3 linked regions of the Xenopus tropicalis genome follow. The protein of the gene in region 3 purifies or fractionates together with the protein of the main gene of each other region. This does not show direct contact. Links are inferred from orthologs where the notes say so. Each region holds a gene or a part of one and is shown on either strand. Other genes may lie near its edges.

Region 1 (3,753 bases), on a different chromosome or scaffold from region 3:
TATATATATATAATCTGTTCTTTGTGTTTGCTCAGTTTCCCTTGTGTAATATTACATTTAAACTCGGAAACAACTCGCTTTGCAAATATGCAGTACCAGGTAAAACAATGGAGCAGCAAATACTTTTTCTCATCACTGTAATTACAAACTAGGGTGTATGTTCTATGGCCCCATCCTACTAAATTAGCAGGGATCTCCACCTTCACCAGGGGGTCCCAATTAATAGTCTGATGGACACCTAGGCCCCCTGAATGGTAAGCCCTGTCTCAAGTAAAATAGGGCCTCAACGAAACAAAAATTGCCCCTCCTATACAGTGTGTTCTAACCTGTCTCTAAGCTTAATTTAAGACAAAACTCCAACAAAACCTTGCCCACTCATCCACAAGCCCCATCCCTTTTAAGAACCTGGAATCATGCCTTTTCATCTCAGGACACCTGACTGCTGATGTACGTGTACTCCAATAATGATTGCCCATTATCAGGGGCCATTTAGATAACTTAAAAATGTAAATTGTGCATTTCACTTATCTATGGATAGCTAATGTGTGTTGCCTCATTTTACAATTTTACTTTTTAGAAACATCAGGTGCACAATTTGCAGCGCTCATACCCTAGATCTGGACACTTCCTTTTGCTCAATTGTATAAGCACTCTGACAACGTTACAAGAGTTTCTTCTACTGAAATTTTCTGACTGTAGTTTGGTTGATAGAACTGACCAGCAGATGGTGCTATTATTTCAATTTAGACGCATTAGCTGTGTAAAAACGTTTACCAGCTTAAAATCTATGAATACCTAATAAAAGTGGCAAGAAGCCCAATTTTACATGAATGTATTTAGAGTTAACGTTTCCTTTAAGGGTAGCCGGCTTTCAAACATCGCTGTAACTGCAGAGAATACATGGTTAGATATATAGATAAATGCAGGTCTCAGCAATAAAATACATGTTATGTAGACAGGAATATACAAAACACTGATTATCACACTGGTGCCGATACATCAGTCTCTATAAGCCGCCCAGTTTGTCAAAGAAAGGGCGAGACTCTTCATACTATCGCGATGTTTGGAAAGCAGAAACAGACACGCCTTGGGCTTTGCGTTCCACCGCAAATGTTCTACTGAGACGGCGGTGTCACGTCACGTGGGCGTCGCCTGAGAAAGATGGAGGCTTCCGGTTCTCTGATTGTCAACAACAAAATGAGAACAGGAATCGGTGGTGCGGTAATTGGCAGCCCCCAACCGGGCAAGGGACGAGAGTACAACCGTACACAGCGCAAGGATTCAGAGGTATGAGTAAAAGTGGTTGTTATGTATAACTATATTGCATTAACATTTGTGTTTGATTAGTACTCAGTTATCCTCGAATTACCCTTGTAATGTAACTGTGTGCCAGCTTTTATGCTTACTTAGTGACCGGGGTATGTCTGGGGAACCTGTGACAGGAAGACAAGACAGTTCTTACCTGATTAAAAAGCCCATTCCAAAAGGAATCTCACATCAGTTTTGCGAACTATTCTAAACTGCTGACTTGTCTTAGTTTTACTGTTCACCAAAAATATATATTATAGTTCTTCGTGGTTGCTGTCATGTTAATATAACCTATAGTTATCAAAAATATTTAATTAAATCTCCGTCATCCTGAAAGTTGAGCATTTCATTTAGAATCACACATTATATTCCTGTTCTGCAGGAAGATGCTGTGACAGAAAGGCACATGTACCTCTGCAAATGTAGTGAGAAAAGTGCAGTTTTGAGCGTAATTGCTGCAGGTTTTTGAAAAAATGTTGCTTTTTCCCCCAGAATTTGAGTCATTGTGGTTCTCAGTGGAGTGATACGCCTGGCACAATTGCTCTGTCTATTGCAGTTGTATCTGATTTGCAACTGTGTACCCAAAATTGGATGCAATTGCGCCAAAATCCAGCTGGCGTCAGTTCTACTGTTTGGTCTGTACCTGATTCTTTAGGTGCAGCAAGTGTGTGGCAGCTCCAGGCTTCCCCTGGTGCAGCAGCTCTCAATTTGGAACGGAAGGTAGGAAGGAGAACATAAAAGTGGTGCTAGGTGCAGCTGGTTGGGGGGAAACTGGGGACCACTATTGCACTCGTGGACGTAAATGAGCCCTAAAGTGTTCCTGGAAATATCATGCCCATGTATTATTCAAAAAGTTGAATTTAATGCAAAGCTAAGATTTCACCACTTGCACCTTTCTCAGGGTGGAACAAACAAATGGTATTTGGGAGCAGCTGTGCATATTGTAAAAGTAACTGAGGAGAGAATTCTTTGGGCTGTAAACATGATTCAGACTTAAGAAAATAGTATAAAAATGTACCACTCTGTCACATGGTTTCACAGAAAATGCCTGAAAGTTAGTCTGAGGGTAGAGGGCCCTGGGTACTCATGAAAATATTTCAATGAGCAAAAGATCTCCTAGCATGGCCTTGCTTTTACTAGTGAGATTTTTTTTTTTTTATTGGTCTGTGTTTACTGCTTCATCACCTGGGGTTTACAATTGCTCTCGTAATGTGTTATGCTATAATGTGACCCTATTCCACGGTTACTCTAAAGAACCAGGTTGCAAAATGAAATCACTTTCAGTTTCATTGTTTTCCCTGTTAAGTAAAAGAGCTACTGAAAATATTACCTAAGCAAATTAGCCTTTGAGGAAAAAAGGTGTAACACGTACAGTGTCTGAACATCTATGAATAAAGTTAGGTCTCAAAACTGATTACATTTAAATCTCCCAGACTACTAAGAAATATGGTTTTGTTTGCATCAGTCTTATGAGAAAGAATTGATATCTTTCGAAGTTATAATTTTTTTTTTCTTTCCAAGAGTGCAGTCATATTCTGTGACTAGTTGCAAGTGCATTGAAAGCTGTCCACACATAATTCAGCGTGGAAATGCAATAATAGGTATTTGTATTTGCTCTCTGTGAGTGAACAGGTATATCCCTTGCCTAGAAGTGCACACAGAGGGGGCAGAAGGCAGCAGATCAGCTTTTCTCTGCTGGTGTATCTACAGCAATGGGGAAAAAAAACATTCCATGTGCCATTAGGGCGAATGGTCGCAGCGACTTTCCCTTCAAAGGATCCTGTATATGTTGCTGCGACTAATAGCACACAGGTTTTCGCTGCGTAGAGAAATCGCAGCGACTTTTTAAAGACTTATGCCGACTAATCGCCTTGTGTGTCTTCACCCTTAGGGCTCTGGCACACGGGGAGATTAGTCGCCCGCAACAAATCTCCCTGAAAATGTAAATCGCCGGTGGGATGGCATAAGCGGCGGCGCGCTTTCACTGAAATCGCGGAAGTTGCCTTGAGAGGAAACTCACATTTTTTTTACATTTTTGCCGGTGGGATGGCATTTCTGGGAGATTAGTCGCCCGCGAACAGGGAGATTTGTCGCGGGTGACTAATCTCCCCGTGTGCCAGAGCCGTTAGCCTTCCAATGTTTTTGGATAAAAGGTTTTTTTTTATGACTTTCTGGGCTTTTGTGTCCAAAGAATGATCAGATAAGACATCCTCTTACCACAGATATTAGTTATTTGATTTAAAGGGAAGGTCTGAAAATTGTTGTTAGTTTGACTGTTTGGGTATAATCTAACAATCTGATAATGATAGAACAATTTGACTGGTCCATCTCCCAGTCTCTCCTGTGAACTATCATATTTCCAAGACCGCAGTCTTCATGTTGATGATTTATTGTTCTACAGTATACATCAAAGATGACCATTTGTTGGTGATACTATTTACATGC
Region 2 (3,753 bases), on a different chromosome or scaffold from region 3:
GGAGCTCTATGAATAAAGAATGAGTAAATTAAAGAGTCCTGCAATGTAGTCATGCTGTTTATGGGAATGCATGTTTCTAGATTGGAAACGTTCCATGACAGCCCTATAACCCCATATTAAGGTGAAGCTCTGGTCAGCATTCTGCAGTTGTTCCAGTGCCTGTTCTCAGTAAACCCAGTCAAAAGTGCATGTATTTTGGACATGCTTACATGGACATGGTTGATTACCATTTGAGCCCCCTGAACTACTGTGAGCCGGGAACAGTTCTCTCTTGGTGGGGCGGGGAGACTAAGAGCTATATACAATGCTAATAAAAGCATTGTCTGACCAGTTAAAATTCTACCATAACAAACATTTAGGCTGACAAAGATGCCACCAGAAGTACGGCTGGTAAAGTGCCACACCCTAAGGGGATGGTAAAAATCAAAGTGGCAAATTACAATGGACAAGAATACACCCAAAATGCTTGTGAATGAATCACACTGTAGATAATCTGCCAAAATTGTAAATGAGCTGTAATCAGTGAGGTACAAGTTGCACTGCAGCACAAAGGCCAGGGACCTGTAAAACTAGTTGGTTTCAATGACCAGTTTTTCTACTGCAGTAATGAGTGCGAGTAATGTACAAGGTATCTCTTCCTATGTGGGACAGAGGTGCAGAAAAGCGTCCCCACCCTAGAAGTTAATCAGTTGGCTGCATGATGTCTTCAAATTGATTTTTATGGCCCTAAGTCACAAGAGCAACACAGACCCCTTTGTAAAAGAACAACATTTTACAATTTGATCTGGACCTTAGTATGTAACTGCACTGCTACCCATCAATATGGGACAGTCGTTTTACAAAGCTGCTTGAGTTTATTTCAAGGCAAATGGTGACAAACAGCAGAAAAGGGTTATGGGAAAACATAATGCAGAAAGCACCTCTAAATAGATGCCAATATGTATTTCTTATCCTGTTAGGCACTAATAAGAGCTTATCTCATGCAGGGCTTTATAAAGCAACTTAATCTAAGAAGTCCAAGGCCTTTAACCTAAGGATTATGTTACAGGCAGATAGAATCTAAACTACTTTTCGGAGACTCTTATTCCTTATTATTATTATTAATATTATTTATACACTACATTTATTTTATTTAACCTGTCAATTTTAAATTGAGATTTAGTAACCCTTTCAAACTAGAAAACTGATATTGAGCACATGGTCACTGTCAAAGTAGTGGTTTAACTGGCAAGTTGGGGAGCTATAGAAACAAAAATTCAATTTAAGAATAAAAATTAAACTTAATTGCGGCCTCTCACATACTTAGTCACTGTTCCCCATTCCCCTTAGCCACACCAGCACTTTACTTACAGAAATGTCAAACAGTGGCACAGGCCTAAAAAGTTTCCATTGTTAATAAACAAAAAGCATGTTTATGTCACAGTTTTATGTTTATGTCAGTTGCTTTACTCAGTGTGTAAAGAATTATTGGATCTGGATTCTTTACTCAACACAGCTGTAGTAGATGGGAAAGCAATGTAGGTGTGTAACAGAAAGTCACAGTGTAAGGGACACCCAGCACCATTACACATGTCACTATGAGCAATTACATATAAATGAACCAGATGTATAAATGGATTTAGCCACTAAAATGGGCTGATCTGATTAATCTGATTAAAACTCCCACAATAAATGCCAGCTGAAGATCATTTTGGGGGGGGCAGCAAGGTGAACTCGTATTTGCTCCCACAGATGTGCTAGGACTGTGGCCAATAACAGTAATGTTTCCCGTATGATGAGTTAAAGGTTTCCGGGCAAACCATGCACCTCAATATGCAGACTCAATGGAATAAGGTCCCAAATGCCTTGATTTCTAGCCTGATCTGTAGCCTGGAGCATCAATACCTGCACTCAGATGTCCAACCTGCGGCCCCCCAGCAGCTGTACTAACTACTCACACTATCCAGCCTCCATTCCCCAGCATTCTATGCAAGCCAAGTTTCTGGGAGTTGTAGTTCAACTGCTGAAGGGCCGCAGACAGACTAATATATACCAGAAGGGGTCGAAAGCCAAGCTAAAGGCGAAGGTAGGACGCGGCAGAGCTCACCTGTATCCCAGGCAGGCCGGGCTGCACCGGGGAGTGACTCATACTGATGTGCCGGCAGCACAACCCCGGCCCTTACATCCACTGCGATACCGAGGAGTGTTCCCCGGTCCCCCGGGCTTCCCTCTGCCTACGAGTCCGGGCCCAGGAGGAGGAGGAGCAGCCGGGGGCAGAGCTGGGGAGCAGGAAGAGATTGGCTTTATTATTGTGCTGGAGAGGAGGATTTCCGGCGGCGGCTGAGGCCAATGATCACACGAAATGGGGAGAAGCAAGTTTGAGGCTGCAGTAGATACAAGGCGATGTCACCACGGTTTCCTCTCTCGTACAGAAAACTAGAGCAGGAAACAAGAAGAGCAATAACCACCCATCTACCCTCCTCCTCCTCCTCCTGTCTCTTCCCCTCACACAGCTCCTCCTGCGCCCTCACTCTCGCCAGGGCAATGGCATGTCACTTTAATCGGACTCATCTGCTTCTCTCCCTTGGGAGCTTTCCCCCTGCCCCTGGGTGAGACACAGCTGCCACCCCTGGGTGCCTGTATAGCAGGAGGCGCTACTGCACTTAGGGTGCGTTTAGTTCATGCCTATCTAGTGTGGGAGAGTAATCAGGCACAATATACCCCTGTATTAGTACTGACAAGGCTACAGGTATCAGAAGGGGAAAACCAGCAAGTGCAGCACAAACTTGCCTCCACTTTACCGTTCCCCACAAACGACTGCTTTCTAAGCTAAGGTCTATTGGTCTTAGTAATGTTGTTTGTACATTGATAGAAAACTGGCTACAGGATCGGGTACAGAGGGTGGTTGTTAATGGTACATTCTCTACTTGGAGTAAGGTTCTCAGTGGGGTCCCTCAGGGTTCTGTACTGGGTCCACTTTTGTTTAATTTGTTCATAAATGACTTAGGGGAGGGTATTATGAGTAATGTATCAGTGTTTGCAGATGACACAAAACTCTGCAGACCAGTCAATTCTATCCAGGATGTGACATCCCTGCAGCAGGATCTTGACCAACTGGCAATCTGGGCAGCTAAGTGGCAGATGAGATTTAATGTGGATAAATGTAAGGTCATGCACCTGGGATGTAAAAATATGCAAGCCCTGTATACCCTTAATGGGACTGCACTAGGCAAATCCATAATGGGAAGGGCCTTGGAGTCCTTGTAGATAATAAACTTGGCTGTAGCAAGCAATGCCAGGCAGCAGCTGCAAGGGCAAACAAGGTTTTGAGCTGTATTAAAAGGGGTATAGATTCACGGGAGGAGGGGGTTATTCTTCCCCTTTACAGAGCGCTGGTAAGGCCCCATCTAGAATATGCTGTTCAGTTTTGGTCTCCAGTGCTCAAACGGGACATTGTTGAGTTAGAGAGGGTCCAGAGAAGGGCAACTAAGCTGGTAAAGGGTATGGAAAGTCTCAGTTATGAAGAAAGACTGGCCAAGTTGGGTCTGTTTACACTGGAGAAGAGGCGCTTAAGAGGTGACATGATAACTATGTATAAATATATAAGGGGATCATATAATAACCTTTCTAATGCTTTATTTACCAGTAGGTCCTTCCAACGGACACAAGGGCACCCACTCCGTTTAGAAGAAGGGAGGTTCCATTTAAATATTTGGAAAGGATTTTTTACTGTGAGAGCTGTGAAGTTCTGGAATTCCCTCCCCGAATCAGTTG
Region 3 (3,653 bases):
CAGGATCTTTTTCAGCAGGATTCAGATTAAGGCGACTCCATGCCTCTGGGAGAACCAATTCCTTAAATCCGTGATTTTTTTGTCACAAACATCTTTCACCATGAGAAAGGCCCGTGGTCTTCATTAGCTCCTCCTTCTCCTAATTTGCATATGTAAATGAGGATTCCGTTCTCTCGTTCACAAAGGATTTGGCTTGATGGTAAAATGGTGGATTTGGCGCACCCCTAACAACTGGGCATTGCTTGTCATTAAGAGCATGGTTAAATCTGAAATACTCCAGCTCTAAACACAGGATCCCATAGTTGCCAAACCAGTTTTATTTATAATGCAAACATACGGTATATATTTTTAAATTTCCAACTTTATATGCATCACGTTTATTGCTTTTTAAATGGGCAACCGGGTTCTGGTGGCACCTGGGTCATGTAAGGTACTGATATATCTGCAGTAAATTCAACACAAACTGCTATGTTTAGAGCTAATGTAAATCTAGTCTGTATTCTGACTCCCCCTCCCTCCGCTAGGGGCGGCAATTGAAACCCATGCTGTATATGATAATATGTATTTTTCTTTGGGCCCCAGAACGGGGCAGAAACTGGGAATATTGACTTGGCACGTTCAGCAGACAGAGATGTCAGGACGGACTGGGCACACAATCATACAACTCGTCGGAGGTGTAGGCCTTCCCCTGGCGTCAGCTACTGCCTCTAACTAACTCCAACACTTACCTAAGCTGTTGTGTTCCTTAAGTGTTTTCTCTTGAAGATGCTCTAATCGTACTGCAAGCAGAATTCCAAAAATAAAAAAGCCGTGCTAAGCAAAGGGGGCAGGACACTACAAAGAACACGGGGAACTCACCTTGTAAGGCGGTAAGTCGTTCATTCGTGAAGTCGTTGTCTGCTTGCAAGGCCTCGATTTTAGCTTGTAGCTCCTGTTCCTTCTCTTCCATTTCATCAATTTTATTCTGCAGTTCTTTTTTCTCTGCGAGAGCTTTCTGCTGGATTTCCTCTTGCCGACTTTCTGCCGCCTACAAAAGGTGCAATTAAATGGTAACTTTATACGTATGCCACGTGGCTTTGTTACTGGAAGTAGTGCCGCTTTAAGCAGCATTGCCCTGTACCCGTCTGTGCTGTTTGTCATTGCCATGGATTTTTACACAACTGTGAGTTTCCATTCATTTAAATGGCAAGTGGTACAGAAAGGGATTGGGTTTTCCCCTGCCAGCTACAAAGCACTGGGGAGACCAAATGCTCCAAACTGCCCTGTGTTCCATTTCCATAAGACCAATTTTCACCTTAATGAGTGAATGAAGACAATTAATTTAATGCCAATCGACCAAGCCAATTAATTTTTACACCAAGGCAACACAAAACCAGACAACACTCCCTCTAGAATATGAATAGATAGACAGACTATAAGCTGCCCTACATAGTAAAGCAATTGCTATTTTATTTTTAATTTCATGTAGATGCAATCTCGTGCCAAAACATTTGTCATAAGAATCCAAAAGAACGCACACGAAGAAACCAACCATAATACACTTGGGACAAGTGGGCTGGCCTTGATTCTATAAATCCATGCCACACGGGCTTTGCATCCAACAATGACACCAAGCAGTAGGAACTGTCCTTTGTGCCAACAACCAACCCTGCCCGGTAGAAAGAACAGGCGTCTGTGCCACAACACAACTGTGCCAGGTACCAGGAACTGACCTTCAATTTGTCTGCAAGATCTTTAATCTCATTCACGGCTCCATTGTACTTGTTGGCCAATTCCCGCAATTCTTCTTGAGTGCGTTCATTCATCTCCTTCAGGTGGGTACATTCATCCTCTGTGTTACTCAGACTCCGCTGGGATTAAAAGAAACACAAAGGCACATGTGAGTACAGAATTGTGGCTCAGAGCCATAAGCAAGACAATGTCAGACTAAATGCACACTTCCATAAACTGTATTTCTGGCACCCATTCTAGTTTGGTGAATGCAGAAGAGCCCCTGTAATAAGAGGGGCACACAGGAGAGTGTGTATACTATAGGCTTACTATTTCCCCCATGATAGCTTGTATGGGGTAATAAGACTTTGCCTTATAACTAAATCAATGCTGGTGTCAATAACATTTTTTAAAGGACAAGTAAGAAGTAGGCTTAAAATGTTGCATATTATGTTCTGGGGTTTTGTACTAACCCAAGGCAACAACAGCCCTTTAGCAGGGAGGATCTGTGCTCCTGAAGATGCCCCCAGTAGCCCCCCATCTACTTTTCTGCTGATTCCGAGAACATGCTCTGTGCTGCCCTTAGCGACTAACTCACAATATACTGTATCTATAGAATATAAATGCCACAATATAATGCTGATTAGAAATGAATACACGGCAGCACTGAAATCAGTACAGCAATAAGAATTTAATAATAAGCCATGTAGCATTATATTACAGGCCAACCTAATTTTCTGTTTGATTCTTTGCTACAACCCCTAAGCTTTGCTTCCCAAACTCTGCCCGGGGCACACTGAGCATGTTCAAGTGTCACTGACACTCCTAACAAAATCCAAGATGGGGAGCTCCTGGGAAGCCTTGGATCATTACTGCTATATAGATGCTGAAACTTTAGGCTGGTGAATTAAGTTTTTTTTAGGGTTTAGTTCTCCTTCAAATGATTTAATTAGCCCTAAGGCATGATCCTCATTACAGAAACCCACAAATCTCACATCTTCATCACCAAACAAGCCTTTACCTCTACTTCTGACAGCTTCCGCACCACCTCTATCTTCTCCTGAAGGACCCGCCTCAGGGACTCTTTGGCCGTTGTCTCGTAGTTGTGTTTGTCTTCTTGCAAAGCGATCATTTCCTTTCTTATTCCATCATCCGTCTGACTCTGCAACAGTAATTAATAATAAGTTTCAGCTTTTCTACCAAGATTATGAATAACAGACCGCATTTAATACTTTTAAAACCTACTACAGTAATATATACTTTGTATACAACATAGGATACTAAAGCTATTCACCATGTATATAATGGTAATGGTTTTTTGTAAGAAGAATATTTGCTTGATATACAGAGACAAGCCGGACTGCTGCCCACAGTCCCCACTGAAATAATTAGCAGCCCCATTTAGTGCACTGCAGAAAATTATATTTTAAAACAATCTGCATTTGGTCTTCAGTTTTAATTTTAAGTTCAGCAGCTAGCCAGTCTGCTATTTCAGCAGCGATCTAGTTGCTAGGGTCCAAATTACCTTAGTAACCAGGGAATGGTTTGAATGAGAGACTGGAATATGAATAGGAGAGGGGCTGAACAGAACGATAAGGAGTAAAAAGTAACAAAAACAATAAAACTGGAGCCTTAGAGATTAACAGTGTTTTTGGCTGCCGGGGTGAGTGACCCCCATTTTGGAAGCTGGGAAGAGTTAAAAGAGAAAGGCAAATAATTTAAAAACTATGACAAAAACGAAGACCAATTGAAGTTGCTTAGATTTGTTCTATAACACACTAAAAGTTAACTTAACGGTGAACCACCAGTTTCAGATTCTAACACTGATACAGTTGCCATTTTTTTTTTTACGCCATATCAGCATAACAGGGTGAACCGATCCTTTCAAAACACAGGGATCCTGCTGATAAATCTATGTTTCTGGGCTGTACCGATTGAATTAA

The links. The genes of interacting proteins can lie anywhere in the genome.
Region 1: the proteins of slmap (region 3) and strip1 purify together in Homo sapiens (affinity purification with mass spectrometry; 4 studies listed by BioGRID and IntAct, with this or other methods). This does not show direct contact. The link is inferred for Xenopus tropicalis from reciprocal best matches to the Homo sapiens genes SLMAP and STRIP1.
Region 2: the proteins of slmap (region 3) and stk24 purify together in Homo sapiens (affinity purification with mass spectrometry; 6 studies listed by BioGRID and IntAct, with this or other methods). This does not show direct contact. The link is inferred for Xenopus tropicalis from reciprocal best matches to the Homo sapiens genes SLMAP and STK24.

What each region holds. Positions count from the first base shown.
Region 1 is NC_030678.2:72,085,105-72,088,857, forward strand, and holds the start of strip1 (striatin-interacting protein 1), read left to right. Parts: upstream 1-1,154; 5' UTR 1,155-1,161; coding exon 1,162-1,287; intron 1,288-3,753. UniProt on the Homo sapiens protein: Plays a role in the regulation of cell morphology and cytoskeletal organization. Required in the cortical actin filament dynamics and cell shape. Part of the striatin-interacting phosphatase and kinase (STRIPAK) complexes.
Region 2 is NC_030678.2:121,371,329-121,375,081, reverse strand, and holds the start of stk24 (serine/threonine-protein kinase 24), read right to left. Parts: upstream 2,255-3,753; 5' UTR 2,129-2,254; coding exon 2,087-2,128; intron 1-2,086. UniProt on the Homo sapiens protein: Serine/threonine-protein kinase that acts on both serine and threonine residues and promotes apoptosis in response to stress stimuli and caspase activation.
Region 3 is NC_030680.2:148,148,589-148,152,241, reverse strand, and holds part of slmap (sarcolemmal membrane-associated protein), read right to left. Parts: intron 2,873-3,653; coding exon 2,732-2,872; intron 1,851-2,731; coding exon 1,713-1,850; intron 1,028-1,712; coding exon 859-1,027; intron 780-858; coding exon 729-779; intron 1-728. UniProt on the Homo sapiens protein: Associates with the striatin-interacting phosphatase and kinase (STRIPAK) core complex, forming the extended (SIKE1:SLMAP)STRIPAK complex.